4 linked regions of the Saccharomyces cerevisiae S288C genome follow. Changing the gene in region 1 together with any one later gene gives a genetic interaction. Each region holds a gene or a part of one and is shown in the gene's direction. Other genes may lie near its edges. The genes, in order: DMO2, CPR8, PAM17 and PTK1.

The links.
Region 2: mutations in DMO2 (region 1) and CPR8 together harm fitness more than expected from each alone (negative genetic interaction), as found in Saccharomyces cerevisiae (2 studies listed by BioGRID).
Region 3: mutations in DMO2 (region 1) and PAM17 impair growth when combined (synthetic growth defect), as found in Saccharomyces cerevisiae (2 studies listed by BioGRID, with this or other methods).
Region 4: mutations in DMO2 (region 1) and PTK1 together harm fitness more than expected from each alone (negative genetic interaction), as found in Saccharomyces cerevisiae (2 studies listed by BioGRID).

The regions. Positions count from the first base shown.
Region 1 is NC_001136.10:173,221-177,033, reverse strand, and holds DMO2 (Dmo2p), read left to right. Parts: upstream 1-2,445; coding exon 2,446-2,802; downstream 2,803-3,813. Other genes in the region: B-type cyclin CLB3, read right to left, coding at 1-261; CMR1 (Cmr1p), read right to left, coding at 548-2,116; mitogen-activated protein kinase kinase STE7, read right to left, coding at 3,006-3,813.
Region 2 is NC_001146.8:674,119-678,309, forward strand, and holds CPR8 (peptidylprolyl isomerase family protein CPR8), read left to right. Parts: upstream 1-2,058; coding exon 2,059-2,985; downstream 2,986-4,191. Other genes in the region: Sar family guanine nucleotide exchange factor SEC12, read right to left, coding at 1-571; putative pyridoxal kinase BUD17, read left to right, coding at 805-1,758; ZNG1 (GTP-dependent zinc transferase), read right to left, coding at 3,081-4,191. UniProt on the Saccharomyces cerevisiae protein: PPIases accelerate the folding of proteins. It catalyzes the cis-trans isomerization of proline imidic peptide bonds in oligopeptides.
Region 3 is NC_001143.9:563,839-567,738, reverse strand, and holds PAM17 (Pam17p), read left to right. Parts: upstream 1-1,846; coding exon 1,847-2,440; downstream 2,441-3,900. Other genes in the region: CCP1 (cytochrome-c peroxidase), read left to right, coding at 541-1,626; OAF3 (Oaf3p), read right to left, coding at 2,601-3,900. UniProt on the Saccharomyces cerevisiae protein: Component of the PAM complex, a complex required for the translocation of transit peptide-containing proteins from the inner membrane into the mitochondrial matrix in an ATP-dependent manner.
Region 4 is NC_001143.9:67,147-72,221, reverse strand, and holds PTK1 (putative serine/threonine protein kinase PTK1), read left to right. Parts: upstream 1-2,001; coding exon 2,002-3,990; downstream 3,991-5,075. Other genes in the region: PEX1 (AAA family ATPase peroxin 1), read left to right, coding at 1-1,488; MNN4 (Mnn4p), read left to right, coding at 4,756-5,075. UniProt on the Saccharomyces cerevisiae protein: Essential determinant for low-affinity spermidine transport.

The DNA.
Region 1 (3,813 bases):
CGCATCCAGCCTTTCTTCCTCAATTATCGCAGCTGAATCCAATCTTTCTTTAATTGGGGCGACTTTTGGCTTACTTATGCTGTTGTTGCTAGAGTTTGTCGCAACTATATTGGTAACGTCGCTAAGTGCGACCCTCGGGTGCGCAGATGAAATATGACTGAGGGATCCAGTCCTGTGTTTAAGATTACCTATAGGTGCCACATTTTCATCCTCGGGGCTCCTGATGTGTCCAGAGCTCAAAGACTGTGAGTTATGATGCATTTATAATAAGCAATGATAAAAAGGACAAAATATCTCTATGTTTTAAAGCGAAGGACAGAAACAATAAATAGCTTTTTCTCTGCAATTTTCTTTTCTTTTCTTCTAAGCAAGCAGCTAAAAATTTCTGATCGTTTTCTTTCGACCGGATCAAAAATGTTTTTATGTGTCCATGTTCTTGCATTTCAATATTTTTGTTTTCTTTTGTTTTGTTTTGTTCCTTCGCTTGTCGCCTCGTTCTGCTGAAAAGCGGGAGAGAAAAAAGGCAGTGCGGGTAACTGAGATGTTTTCATTCTTCCTGCTTTATGGTTCCGGAGTCATCAGTAAAGAGGAATATTTTGCCGCTAGAATTACCACCTGCAATCCAGTTTCGCAGCGGGTGCCAACTAATTACAGCTGGGACAGTAGCTGTGGGTAGGTGAGCCAGTTGCTGGCCTTCGCTGTTGTATATGTCGATGGCGCGCTTCATGTTAGCTATTGCAAAAACATTCTTGTTCGGCTTGAACCTGGCCTTGAGGATGCTTGTCCATCTTCCTGTTTGGCAATTGTGCTGAATCGTTAGTTTGGGCTCCAACTTCGCAGAAAGGTGATCCCTACTCTTGACATCGAATAAGCGGATGGTATCGTCATAGCCATTGCACACTAAGGTGCCATCTGTCGGTGAGTAAGAAACTGCAGAGACGCTCAATCTTGAGTCATATGTGGAGACAATTTCATGACTGGGATAGTCTTCATATTGTGACCACTCTGGCTTTTTAACAAGGTTTCTTGTATCCCAGATTTTGAGTGTTCTATCAAGTGATCCGGTGGCAATCTCGTAGGGTCTCATGGGATTTATTGCCATAGACCCGATCTTCTTGTCTGCGAGTCTTCGCAGATTATACTCTGATTTTTTTACTCTTGTGTCAAACGTGGTGAATTCACCACCTAATGTGGTGAGGAATAAAACATTTGGGTTTTCGTAGCTAAACTGGCAATCGCTGATACCCAGTGAATCGTCATATTCATTTTTCAAGGTGAGAACCTCTTCACTCTGTAAGTTATTCAAGTGAACTGACCTGATGCTTCCGTCGTAAGAGGTGAGCAATATCTTCGATGTGTCCGCAGGGAAGCAATCAATACGGCCGACGTTTTTGGTAAATAGTTTCACTCTGGTGATATCGGGTTCTTCCATTCGGTCCTCTTCGCTGTCAGCTAGTGGTTCATCTCTAACGTTCCAAAAACCCACAGTACCGCTTGTATCACCTGCAATTATTAGCTTTTTTTCCATAGCAGGATGGAAGTAAGTGGCAGAGATTCTTTCGTATGTAATCTTAATTTCGTTCGGTTGAAAAACGTCATATAGATCCAAATCAAATTCGTCCATCCCCGTAACGTCACCCTGTCTCTTTTTTATTTCTTCAAAGAAATCACCAGAAGAAAAGTTTCCGTTATTAAACCTCTTGAATTTCTCTAAAAGGGCACTTTCGTCTTCATCCTTGATCAGATCACTTAATTTCACATCTCCTATTACAGGTTTCTCCTTTATTGCGTCTATAAAATTCTTATCCTGGCCATCTGGAGAACCCATTTTAAGCAACTGATTATCGTTCACATTGGGTATTCCTTTCACATCGTCTGCAGACTCACCCCTTAGCCTTCTTGATCTTCGTGTAGGTAAAGTGGGACTCGCAGACTTGGTTGCTCTGGTATTAGTTGTTTTTTGTTTCTTTTTTGCAGGAGCTCTAGATTTTTCCAACACCCCAGCCTCGTGCTTAATTTGAGATGCTACTCCAGACAAATGGAGTTTTTTCAATAAATCGTTATTCCTTTTGATGTTCTCTAAACGTTTTTTCTGAAATTCTGTTAATTCCGGCATTCTTGACTGAAAAGCAGCTTTCTTTTAATTGCCGTACTAAAATAGATCGCCTATTGTGTACTATTGACGACAAATGCAAGATTAAAGGGTTTTTATCTTCTCTTTAACAATTGTTCAAATATACATTTACCTCTTTTGGCGTTATTATAATTGTAACATGTCAGAAATTGAACATTAACAAAAAACGCGTAATATGGGGTCCTCGGGTGAAAAATTAACGATGGGCTTTTGAAAAAAGGTACGAGCATATAAAGCGAGTACAGTCATTGTGTGCCACCAAGTAGGAAACAAAACACCGCTTAGAGAGAAACAGCAAGTGGTGAAAAACAATGAGTAATATTTTGGCAGTGTTCAACCCTCCACCACAAAGGGAGCTGGAAAAAGAAGAGACTATGGATTGCGTTCCTTGTCAAGTCATGAGCACTATGTTTTCTGTTGGATTTGGCTCATACTTGGCATCTGGGAAACCATTCAAGTATGGTAAAAAAGAAGCCAAAAGAGGCATTTCTCTGACTGAATTTGAAAAAAGAAACCCACAATGGTGGAAAGTAACTTTACGTAGCTTCGGTGGGTTATTAATCGCCTTCGGTTTCGTTAGAGGAACCGAAGGTTGGTTGTGGCATAAAAATAAAGAATATAAGAACTATAAGAAATTAAGTAACGATGGTGAAACACAGGCTAACTAGTATTATTCGCAAGCTTCTCTCAATCGTGAAATTTTCTGTACATAAAGTGCTACTTTGATGATTATTTTTAAAAATATTGTTACATTAGAAAATTGGTTTGTGATTTACATAATCAGGAGAGTCTATATATATATGAATATAGCTTTGAGAAAGGGATGTGAAAAAAAGTGCAATATGTTCCTAACTAATGTTATCGCATGCATTCAATGGGTTGATCTTTCCGATTGTTTCTTTTCTAACTTGGCACGGTCCAAGGCTTCTCTTTTAATTCTCTTGTCTTCCTTTATTTTAGATTTTATTTTTCTACACCAATGTCTAAATTTATCATCTTTAGACGGTGATACGTATTTCATTATAAGATCATGATGTAGCAATTCATGAATCGATGACCTTTCCCTTTCATTCTTAATACAACACCTATTGACAAAATCTGTCATTTCCTTGGAATAGATACGGTCTTTGGGTAATCTTGGTGAAGGCTCGTTGACAATACGTTGCAGCAAATCCAATATGCCATCAGGTGTATCGTTATGCCCACCTAGGGGAAACTCTCCAGTTACCAGCTCGATGATCATTAAGCCCAATGACCAAACGTCCCCTTTGATAGAATAAACGTTTCCTTGTATCCTCTCTGGTGACATATAAGTGGACGTTCCAACAAATGTATCAGCGATAGAATTTATTAGTTTTTTGGAAACTCCAAAATCACATAACTTAATCTGCCCCTTACTATTAATCAGAACATTGGAAGGCTTGATATCACGATGAATGATCTTATATTGTCGGTACAAATGATCCAAGCCATTTAGTACGCCATACGCTATTTTTGATATTGTTAATTCGTTGAACCAGGTTTTCTTACTCGAAACAGTCCCTCTTTGAACAAACCTTTTATAAACGGACAGTATTTTATCTAAAGAACCACAATCAGAGTATTCCATTAAAATTATGATTTCATTATTTATATGCTGGTTATAATAAGCTCCATAGAAGGTGATAATGTTTTCATGG
Region 2 (4,191 bases), on another chromosome or scaffold:
TATAAGCAACAACCTTACCATCAGTGGAAAAGTGTAAATCCTTTACTTCACCCCTAGTCTCGATCTCAAACTTCTCTGTCAAGTCGCTCGGGTCAATGATTCTCATTATAGCAGGTACTTTAGATGATGCGATAGCTGCAACGGTACCTTCTCGTGAAATATAAACCAGCTTCGTGTAGTCATCCGCATTTGTAGATGCGTCAAAGTCTACACTAGTGAGGAACTCCAATTGATCATTCACTTTATCGTATTTAAATTTTCTCAAGTGCTTATTACCTTTACCTTGGGTAATCTTAGTGCTATTTTCATTGCAGCCAACCAAAATGATACCCTTGGAAGCGTCAATTGCAGTAGGAGAGTCGTCGTTGTCTTCCAATGCAAACTCGCTCAATATATGAAACTGTTCCTTCTCAGTATCTTTGGTAGGATCCACGCGCAAGACCGTCAGCTTGTTTGGTATGCCATTGTTTCCTTCTCCTCCACCGCCTGCCACAAGTAATGTGTCGTTATTCAAAAATTTTGCACCGTACGCAGGATACCCGACGTTATAACTAGCTGTCACGAACTTCATAGTGGCTCGATTGTATCTCAACCTTGTTATATATCTGTATTTCTATCACGTATCCTTCTAGGTTTCTGTACACGTTTTTGAATTTTTTGGATTTTTTTTTTTTCAACTTTTCTTTTTTCCCTCATTCTTACTCTATTGTCATCACCATTCAAGATAAAGATAATAACTAGCTTTGAGAAATTAGACCAGACGCAGTGGAAGGTTGAATACATGCCTGTGTGAGGGTGGTGCCAATGACCAGTACATTACATACGACAAAAAAAGTGCTCTCCATTCAATCACACGTCATACATGGCTACGTGGGAAACAAGGCCGCTACGTTCCCACTTCAATACAGAGGTTGGGATGTGGACGTATTGAACACAGTTCAGTTTTCTAACCACTCGGGGTACGCCCACTTCACAGGCTTCAAATGCAGCACTGAGGAGTTGGTAGACATTGTAGAGAAGGGCTTGATTGGGTCTCTTAGAATCAAGTATGATGCCGTACTTAGTGGCTATTTACCCAATGTTCAAGCCCTGCAAAAGGTAGCAGGAATAGTGGGTCAATTATGTGAGGGGAGTGAAAACGTCAAGTGGATATTAGATCCTGTACTGGGCGATAATGGAAGGCTGTACGTGGATCGAGAATGTGTTGCGGTATACCAAGACATTTTACAAAACTTCAAAATTTTTTTGGCCACACCAAATCAGTTTGAAATGGAACTGTTGGTGGGGATGTCAATTCGTACCTTAGACGACGCTAAGCAGGCATTTAAACTATTTCATAAAAAGTACCCTCGAGTAAGCCGAATAGTTGTCACTAGTCTGGAATTATCTGAATTCCTGAGCAACGACACTTACGTAGTAGCAGGGTTTGATTGCTCGGCCAGTGAAGAGATATTCTTCTATGAAATCCCCAAGATCAACGCAAAATTTAGTGGAAGTGGTGATTTAATCAGCGCCATGCTCACTGACTCGTTACTAGGCGACCGCCGCTGCACACAGCTGTCATTAAGCGCATCCTTGGGCCAAGTGCTGTGGCTCGTCACCAGTATCCTACAAAAAACGTATGATTTAAACATAGCTGAGCGGGGCCCACAAGATTCCACGATAGATATCAAGGATTTAAAGCTGATTCAGTGTAGAGACATCCTAAAGCAAGATCTCATACCCTCCATTGGCAAGCCAAAAACCATTAAAATATGATTCTTACGAAACGGTATGCTCCTTCCTCATTGGGGTGCGGCTGCTGCAGGAACCTGCCTAAATAGGAAAATACATTCCTGATTTGGAAACTGTAGGCACACGACGCGTCCCTTTGGAGAAGATCGATCCTTCTTTGGGTCTTTCAATTTGATTGGAAAAAAAATATTTAAAAAAATAGAAGAAAAATATAGAATATATAGAATATATAGAATCAACTACTGCAGTAGATAAATAAAGAAGACTATTCATATTCAGTATCACAATTGAAAGATTATTACAATTTGTATACATTGGTTCCCAATGAAGAGCTTTTTTCTTTATCTTTATGTGGCATTCATGTTTAGTTGCATAACGGCTCTGCCATTACCTGTGGATAACAAAAGGGCTTCTTCAGACTCCTTAGACCTAAAGAAAAAATACGCACCAGACCCTCCTATTACACATAATGTAAACATCGGAATTGTTTTCACAGATCCTGAAAGTTCGGAAGAAGCCGGCCGTCTCATAACAATAGACTTATACGGGACTATGGTGCCCAAGACAGTAATGACTTTTTGCCAGTATGTTGATAGTGTAAAAGATCGCCTTGCTTCCCGTCACAGTTACTCGCCAGAACGCGATTTTGATAAAATTCTACCGAATGGAGCTATAGAAGGTAGCTCCGTTTCTTCCTCCTCTATTGAAGAAACGGAAATGTTGGCTCCAAAACTCCCGGAAGAAAATCATAGTTTAATTCATGATAGGCCAGGCAGAGTTTCCATGATTAAGGACGATAAGGGTCTTAAGTTTATAATTGAGACCAGTGAGACGCCACTTGAAGGTGAAAGTGTTGTGTTTGGCCAAGTTACCGCCGGGTTAAAAGATCTGATGGATAAACTAGCTAATGTGAAAACTGACGAAAATGGCAAACCAGAGCAACCAATAACAATAGGTTACATTTCATCCCAGGAACACAGGATTCAGCATGCAAAGGAAGCTCACGAAAAGTATTTACAAAGGCTTCAAGATTACCAAAACGGCGATTTGGAGAAAGGTATTACATTGAAGAATTATTTATACCAGGGTAGTCAAAGAAAGTTAGAAGACGCAAAATATAATCAGCTTCACCATCCTTTACCAAAGATTATGCTTGGTATTTCGGTATTGTTACTTTTCTACGTTTTGGCCAAGTACAGGAAAAGAATATTCAACAGATCGTCTAAAATAGTTTCTATTAGAGAGGATTAAAATGTTTCGATCCATCCGCTTAATATTCATTCATTTTGTATCACATACATACGTATAAATATACATAACTTACCTCGTCTTTATTATGCCAACCATCATTCCAGGGTTTTACGTAACAGTTCCTCTATGGATTCCTTTTCTAGGTACTTCCCAATCAGCACAATTTTACACTCTTTATTGGATCCGTCATATTTGCCTGGAAAGACATCGTAGGTGTCGCGGACGCCTTGGATTACACGAGCAATGGGGTTCTCTCCTTCAATAAGTATCAGACCTTTAGTTCTTTGTACTTCCCAATCACGGCCGTCATCTCGGCGACGCCCTCCCAGCACTGTCATGGCTCCAAAATTCTTCCACAATAAAGGTTGCAAAAATTGCTTAATAAACTTATTATTATATTCTTCCTCGTTTTTTAATGGTCTGAAAGTAAGCATTATTGTGCCCATTCGATCATCATGAATGGTACCGTTTCCGCTACCACTATCTAAGATGTCAGATATCCGTACACTGTCGTATGCATGAATATCTAGTAAATTTTGAATCGGCGTATCACTATACTTGGTGAAGAACATCGGTGCGATAGAATTTATTTCCCGTACTCTTTCTTTTAATTGTTTGACCATTTCTGGTGAATGTTCGATAGTATCGTATTTGTTCATTATAATTCGATCAGCCATGGCTAGTTGGAAGTGTGCAATAGTCAGATTCCCCTCCAAACCAACTTTGTCACCATGCCAATGGGCATCGATGGAAATATCATCTAAGCATTTTAGTATATGCTCACAATCCAAAACCGTGATGATCCCGTCAATGTAAACGCTGCTATTCAATCCTTCGTCCTGCCAGAACATTTTCGCAATGGGGGCGGGATCTGCAATACCGGAGGTCTCTAAAAGGATATAATCGATTTTACCAGGTGAACGCTCCACCATATCTTCGATGGCTTTAACACCTATATTTTTCAACGAACAACACAGACACCCGTTACCCAAATCCAACCATTCTTGGTAGCTGTTCGATCCATTTTTAATGGTCATAGCCTTTTCGATTTCACTAGAATCTCCAAATTCATTTAAAATTACGGCAATTTTTTTATCTGCACCTTTTAATGCAATTTTTTCCAGCAACGTCGATTTACCTGATCCTAGATAGCCGGTAATAATGCTCACAGGAATACGCTTTTTCTCGTGCACATCTGTTGCGCCT
Region 3 (3,900 bases), on another chromosome or scaffold:
GCCATTTACTTCGAAAATGCGGAGCAACGGCGGGTTACTGGTGTTCCAGCAAGAGCTGTAATAATTCAATATAACTAGTAAGAATAGCCAAGAAAGCCAAAAGACGAGCTTGGATCGATGCGAAAATGTGGTCGCTCCACACCAATTACTAGTTATCATTTAGCGCTGCCGTGTGGCGACTACACTTCAGCGACCTATGTAGCTTACATAATGTCGGGATGATTTCTCCCGCAGCTAGATCTCGCCAATGGAAATTCCAAAGCCAAAGAATATCCTGCTTTGTCAGGAATTTCGTAAACCATGGTCAGGCCCAGATTTGTAGTTTTCTTTACCAACGACAGCGATGAGTTATTTGGTCCTGAGTACTGAGTAATATGACTCTCTTGGCATCCAGGGGCCGGCCCAAGCCGGCTGTTACCAATTTAGGAAAGGACCCTGGAGCGAAAAGTACTTAAGCAGAGACTATTGTACACGCTCGCTAACTCAAGAACATGAATTTCGCATTCATGCAGACGCAAACACACACGTATATCTACAATTATGACTACTGCTGTTAGGCTTTTACCTTCACTGGGCAGAACCGCCCATAAGAGGTCTCTCTACCTGTTCTCCGCTGCTGCTGCTGCTGCTGCTGCTGCAACTTTTGCTTACTCGCAATCCCAAAAGAGATCATCGTCTTCTCCCGGGGGTGGTAGTAACCACGGATGGAACAACTGGGGGAAGGCAGCTGCTTTGGCTTCCACTACACCGCTCGTTCATGTCGCCTCTGTCGAAAAAGGGAGGTCATACGAGGACTTCCAAAAGGTGTACAATGCGATTGCACTCAAGCTGAGGGAAGATGACGAATATGACAACTATATAGGCTATGGGCCCGTATTAGTCCGTCTTGCTTGGCACACTTCAGGGACCTGGGACAAGCACGACAATACAGGCGGGTCATACGGTGGTACATACAGATTCAAAAAGGAGTTTAACGATCCATCCAATGCGGGCTTGCAGAATGGCTTCAAGTTCCTGGAGCCCATTCACAAAGAGTTTCCCTGGATCTCCTCGGGTGATCTGTTCAGTCTAGGGGGTGTCACTGCCGTGCAGGAAATGCAGGGTCCCAAGATTCCATGGAGATGTGGTAGAGTCGACACGCCAGAGGATACTACCCCTGACAACGGGAGACTGCCTGACGCTGATAAAGACGCTGACTATGTCAGAACATTTTTTCAAAGACTTAATATGAATGACAGAGAAGTAGTTGCTCTTATGGGGGCTCACGCTCTGGGCAAGACCCACTTGAAGAACTCTGGATACGAAGGGCCATGGGGAGCCGCTAACAACGTCTTTACCAATGAGTTTTACTTGAACTTGCTGAATGAAGACTGGAAATTGGAAAAGAACGACGCGAACAACGAACAGTGGGACTCTAAGAGCGGCTACATGATGCTGCCCACTGATTATTCTTTGATTCAGGATCCCAAGTACTTAAGCATTGTGAAAGAATACGCTAATGACCAGGACAAGTTCTTCAAGGATTTTTCCAAAGCTTTTGAAAAACTGTTGGAGAACGGTATCACTTTCCCTAAAGACGCGCCCAGTCCATTTATTTTCAAGACTTTAGAGGAACAAGGTTTATAGGTCACTGAGGAAAGATATTATTTATTGGTTATATTTCGTATTATTTATCTATTTATTATATTTATTATTATTTAGGCTTATGCTTTTTTCTGAATATCATCTAATACGTTTGTACGGTACGTCTATGAAAAATGGAAAGCCATACAATGGTATATCATAAGGGAAACTATGTTCAAAGAAGTGTTAAAAACATTCAGAAAACATTGTCCGCCTCTTCAAAATGTTTACCAGTGCCATTAGATTGTCATCGCAAAGACTGTTCGCTAGTCAACCTTCTGTCACCGCTGCGGCATTGCGCTCGACTGCTACAACCTTACCCTTAAGATCATATTCTCAGCCCGCATCCCTTCAAGACTCCAGTATCTTGACATGGTCTGATTTTTTCAAATTGAGGAAACAGCAGCGTAGAATCAATGTTGGTTCTTCGCTGTTTACTGCTCTTTTGGGCTGTAACGTTTCATGGGCTTACCTTTCCACAATGGAAATAGACCCGACTCAAATGCTATTCGGATTCGACCCATTAACTGTAATTTCAGCTGGGATAATAGCCTCTGGTGCACTAGGCTACTTGTTGGGTCCGATAGTTGGTTCGCAAGTTTTCAAACTTTCCCATAACCAACAATTGGCACAGTTCAACAACAAAAATAAAGAGTTTCTAAAACATATCATCAATAACAGGGTCGATGCCTCTTCTCAAAGTTTCAGTAATCCTGTTCCAGATTATTACGGTGAAAAGATAGGTTCCTTAAAGGAATATAAGCAATGGTTAAGAGATTGTCACGCTTACGCAAAGAAAGCCAAAGAATTTTTGTGATTGAACGTGTGATCTTTTCCTTCTTCTCAGACTCTGTATATATACATATATGAATAAAGTAGTGCGATATATAACGCTACTAAATAATTCGAATGAAATAGGGAGGAAGTGAAAGGTATGAATATTGTATATGTCCTATACGTCTCTTTTATCTCTGACTTTAAAAAAATGATACGAAATCCACAGGATCAAAAATATCTTCAATCACGTCAAACTCTGAGACAATTAAATCATTAACAGGCAAAGCGGGTGCTAAAGGTTGTTGTAGTAGTTCTTTTTGCGGAATTTCAGCTACTTGTTCATTCGTAATGCTTATGTTGGTATCAACTTCAGTATGTTTAGCTAATTGTGAACTGGCGTGATCATAAAAGGATGAAAAAATATTAAACCTGTCGGAATATTTCTCCATATCCAAGAATTCTTGCATTTCCTTTATGCGCATTTGAAACTTAAATCCTGTCATATCATCGTTGTATTTACCTATGGGATAAAACTCATTGTTCCATATACTTAGAATATCTGGCCTATACCCATCATATTTTTGTACTGTCTCCTGAAATTCTAGTATTATTGGACAGATGTCATTTAATCTCATATCGTTGTAATCTATATAACTATCACCGTTATCTTCTAGTTTCAATTCATTCAGCAAAAATTTTAAAATAATTCTCCATGCATCTTTTTCACATGAGCGATTCAAGATCTTGTAGGCAATTTTAGCGGTGAACATTTTTCTAAAACAACGATAGTACTCAAAGCCAAATTCGTTAAAATACACAGACGAGACCCCGTAAAGAAATTCTATCATTTTCTTCTTGTCGGCGTACTGAATTGTTTTGAAGCGGTCTCCTCTGAGAATGAATGCCGGAACAATGACCAAAACTTTGTTTGCGACAATTTCCACGATTCTATTGGTATAAAACTTTGTCAATGAATCCACCTCTAAGGCATCACTGTTAAAAAAGTAATTGTAGCACTTCTCTGAGATATGAATGACCATATCCCACAAATCTTGGAAACTCTTATAAAATTTTGTAATATTGCAGTCATATTCATAAAAGATCATTTCTCCGTGCAGCAAACTTAGTGAGAATAAATCTATTATCCATTCCATTTCGAAATCAAAATGACGCATTGTTTCTTTTTCGTTTTTCGACAGGCTTTTTAAAATATGAAAGTTTCTTTTTAAATCATTTATTAGTCGGTGCAACAAGTTCAAATCTACCTTTCCTGGATCATCGTTCAACGTATCGTTTATCTTTTTCATCAAGTTATCCAGGGTTAACATTCGTATATACCATGTGGGTGTATCTGCTTCTTCTTTGAAATGGCACTGCAAGGTTTTCCCAATTTGACATTCTTCACCGCTAATAAAACACATCTTCCTGTCCCAAAATAAAACATAACTCCATATCTTTCTGAAAACTGAAATGTAATCGCTAGGTTTCATTATATCGTAT
Region 4 (5,075 bases), on another chromosome or scaffold:
AATGCAAGCAAACTTTTGAATTTTTTCATCAATCAGGTGACAAAGATATTTAACAAGGATAATAAACGAATCAGAGTTTTATTTTCAGGCAAGCAGAAAACTCAAATTAATCCGCTATTGTTTGATAAGCATTTTGTTTCAGAGACGTGGTCTTTGAGAGCACCTGACAAACATGCAAGAGCGAAGTTACTGGAGTATTTTTTCTCGAAAAACCAGATCATGAAACTAAATCGAGATTTGCAATTCAGTGATTTGTCGTTGGAGACAGAAGGATTTTCGCCACTAGATTTGGAAATATTCACAGAAAAGATTTTCTACGACTTGCAGTTGGAAAGAGATTGTGATAATGTTGTAACAAGGGAACTTTTTTCGAAGTCGCTTAGTGCGTTTACACCATCTGCGTTGCGTGGAGTAAAGCTAACAAAAGAAACGAACATCAAATGGGGGGATATTGGTGCTTTAGCAAATGCCAAAGATGTCCTTCTAGAAACCTTAGAGTGGCCCACAAAATATGAGCCTATTTTCGTTAATTGTCCCCTAAGATTGAGATCAGGAATCTTGCTTTACGGTTATCCTGGTTGTGGTAAAACGCTTCTGGCGAGCGCCGTGGCACAACAATGTGGGTTAAACTTTATCTCCGTTAAGGGACCAGAGATTTTAAACAAGTTTATAGGTGCCAGCGAACAAAACATAAGAGAATTGTTTGAAAGGGCACAGTCCGTCAAACCCTGTATTCTATTTTTTGACGAGTTCGATTCTATTGCGCCAAAGAGAGGGCATGACTCCACTGGTGTCACAGACCGTGTAGTCAATCAATTATTGACCCAAATGGATGGTGCCGAGGGCCTTGATGGTGTATATATACTAGCAGCTACAAGTAGACCTGATTTGATTGATAGCGCATTGTTAAGACCGGGAAGATTAGACAAAAGTGTGATCTGTAATATACCGACTGAATCAGAGAGGTTAGATATCTTGCAAGCTATCGTCAATTCAAAAGACAAGGATACGGGACAAAAAAAATTTGCATTGGAGAAAAATGCAGACTTGAAGTTGATCGCTGAAAAGACAGCTGGTTTTTCGGGTGCTGATTTACAGGGGCTCTGCTACAATGCTTATTTGAAATCTGTACATAGGTGGCTGTCTGCTGCAGACCAATCGGAAGTGGTACCCGGCAATGATAATATAGAATACTTCAGTATCAATGAGCACGGGCGTAGAGAAGAAAATAGACTACGGCTAAAGACTCTATTGCAGCAAGATGTGGTGCACGAGACAAAGACAAGCACTTCAGCTGCTTCTGAGCTGACAGCTGTGGTCACAATAAACGATTTATTGGAAGCCTGTCAAGAGACAAAACCTAGTATTTCAACAAGTGAGTTGGTCAAATTAAGGGGGATTTACGATAGGTTCCAGAAGGATAGGAACGGTGAGATGCCCAATGGTGAGAATTCCATCGACATTGGTAGCCGACTCTCCCTTATGTGAAAAGGAAGAAGAAAAGAACAAAGCGCGTTTCCCTTTAAAGGGCAAAAAATGCGGCGCACGTTGCTTATTACGTGACATGACCCTATTGTATTGTGCGAGCACGCAGGACGGGAAAAATATTGGTGAAATTACATAACGCATTTTTTTTCCCTTGTGGTGAAAAGGAAAAACCCGAGAAATATGCCAGTAACAGTGGAGACCGGTCAAGATGTATTGAACGAAATCCGAAGTTGCATATATAACATAAATGCCTGCTACCTTTTGATACTTAATTCTTCTTAGCACCTATACGCTTTTTTTTTCATTTTTCCTTATCTTTTCTTTTTCTCGCAGAAGTCTATACAAAGAAGAAATATATATATATCTATTTCTTTTTTTTTTCAACCGTATACCACCGGCAACAAACCTCCATGTATTCATAGGCCCTGCATTACATCAAGAAATATTAGCATAAACGTATAGACCATTTTAACGCCACAGGCAAGCATACGCATTAAATCGCACCACCAACCAATGACAGTCTCACACAATCATTCTACGAAGATATCCCAACAACCAATCTCCTCGGTATCAGCATTTAAGTTCTTCGGAAAGAAGCTGTTAAGTTCAAGCCATGGGAACAAGTTGAAGAAAAAGGCGTCTCTACCTCCAGACTTCCACTCTACAAGTACTAATGACAGCGAATCCTCCAGCCCAAAACTGCCGAATTCGTTGAAAACCTCTCGCCGTGCAAACTCTTTCGCTCACACAACCAACAGCAAGAGATCTTTATCTTCCGCCTCAACCAAGATCCTACCTCCGGCCGGCTCCAGCACGTCCATCTCAAGAGGAAACAGACATTCGTCCACTTCGCGTAATCTCTCAAACTCCAAGTTCAGTAGCGAACGATTAGTGTACAATCCATACGGCGTCTCAACCCCAAGCACGTCACTCTCGTCCGTCTCTACCTCCATGAAGAAAGACCCTGATCTGGGCTTCTACCTTCACGATGGGGATTCCAAAATCCGCATGCTGCCGATCCCAATTGTGGACCCAAACGAGTATCTGCCCGACGAGATGAAGGAGGCAAGCATCCAGTTGAGCGATAACTTCGTCTTTGATGATGAGAATAAGACCATCGGATGGGGCGGTTCGTGCGAAGTGCGCAAGATCCGCTCCAAGTACCGCAAGAAGGACGTATTTGCTCTAAAGAAGCTCAATATGATCTATAATGAAACGCCCGAGAAATTCTACAAGCGCTGCTCAAAGGAGTTTATCATCGCAAAGCAGCTAAGTCATCATGTTCACATCACAAATACTTTCCTTCTAGTCAAGGTGCCCACCACCGTCTACACCACTCGCGGGTGGGGGTTCGTCATGGAGCTAGGTCTACGAGATTTGTTCGCGATGATACAAAAATCGGGCTGGCGCAGCGTGGCCCTAGCAGAAAAGTTTTGTATATTCAAACAGGTGGCGTGTGGTGTCAAGTTTTGCCACGATCAGGGCATCGCCCACCGTGATTTGAAACCGGAAAATGTACTGCTATCCCCGGACGGCGTGTGCAAGCTGACAGATTTTGGTATCTCAGACTGGTACCACACGGATCCACACGACCTGTCCAGCCCTGTCAAGAAGTGCGCAGGGATGATCGGCTCGCCGCCGTATGCTCCCCCGGAGGTCATGTTCTACGACTCCAAGAAGCACTACGATACGGAATTGCAACAGCCGTATGACCCACGCGCTCTAGACTGTTATGGCCTGGGTATTATCCTCATGACCCTCGTCAACAACGTCATTCCATTTTTGGAATCCTGCAGCTTCGACACTGGTTTCCGCGATTACTGTGACGCTTATGAAAACTTTATCCGTCTTCACGATCGCGCATTCCGCAATCGCGGCAATTACCGCCCGGGGCCGGGAATGGAGTATCACTTGGCTAGAAATTTCAAGAACGGACATGCATCTCGCGTGGCATGGCGGCTCGCTGACCCAGAAGCCGCCACCCGCTACACCATCGACGACCTCTTCGAAGACCCATGGTTCCAAGGAATTGAGACTTGTGTTGATGCCAACGACAAATATGTGTGTAAGAAACCTATTATCAAAACCACTACGTACGAGAATCCGCGGGGTTTCCATATCGCTACAGATGTTGCTGCAACCACACCCACCTCAAACCCATTCCTTAAGAACCGAGTCCCCATCAGGTCAATGGTAGATATAGCCGCCCATCCTTCCCCAACGGCCACGGTTTTAGCGTCGTCGCCTCCGCCGCCTCCTCCGGCGACTCATGTGCCAGCCGAGGCCTTATTTACACTTAGGGAAACCCCGCCGCCCCAGCTAGCAACCCTCACGCTTAGCGAAGAACCTCCCGCAACTCCCGCACCTTCCGCACCTTCCGCACCTTCCGCTCGCGTCCGTGGCCACTCCCCGCACAGGGTAGTGCATCACCATCTGAACATTGTCAACAGCTTGGTCCATAGTTCTAGCGCGGCGTCTTCTCAAGTTCCGGCTTCGACCTAGCCAGAATGTGCAGCAGAGTAAATAATATTCACTTCCCTGTTCCTAAAGCGTACAATATACAACTCCAACTTCATATCAACTACCAGAAACAGTAACATACGTAATAGTTATTTTCTATATTTTTATTTTTTTTTTGCCACTGACCAGTCTTCGCGGCGGTGTGAGTTTCCGTCTGTACGCAGCATTTAGCAGAGATTTGCCAATGCCAAGAAACTCCGCTAAACTAACATCGCGATGCAATGGGCTTGGTATTCCGTGGAAGAAAATGAAAACCGGCGCAAAGAATCCTCCGAGAAAATTTGATGCGGTGCACGGATTTCAGCACGGGTTTCAGCACGGATTTTATTTCTTTGCACCCCGCAAATTTCTGGGCGATGATAAACATACCGCATCTAAAACCGTATACAGACTACGGCACAGAAGCCAAGACTAACAAAAAAAAAAAAAAAAAAAAAAAAGAAAAAAGAAAAATGTCACGTGTTATTCCTTGTGCCCTCTGACCTACGTAGTTACTTGCGTGGCTTCAAATTTGATATCAGCTCTCGAGACGTCCTGATCTCTATACCTTATTGCTTGCTTTAGGTTGAGGCAATAAAGAAATAATTACATCTTTGGTTCTTTCCCCCTTTTTATATATCTGCAACAATATTAAACAATTAAATTAAAGAAGCACGTTTCCGTTTTTTATCATATACCATTCCCCTAACCGCCGAACTCACCGCATCACAACGTCACTATTCCTTCACACAAATAAACTAATTAGTTATGCTTCAGCGAATATCATCTAAACTTCACAGGCGGTTCTTATCTGGCCTGCTGCGTGTCAAGCACTACCCATTAAGGCGCATTCTCCTTCCACTGATTCTACTGCAGATCATCATTATAACGTTTATCTGGTCAAATTCACCGCAGCGTAACGGACTTGGGCGGGACGCTGATTACCTTCTACCAAATTACAACGAACTTGACAGTGATGATGATTCCTGGTATAGCATCCTGACTTCGTCTTTCAAAAACGATCGCAAGATCCAGTTCGCTAAGACATTATACGAAAATTTAAAATTCGGCACCAACCCTAAATGGGT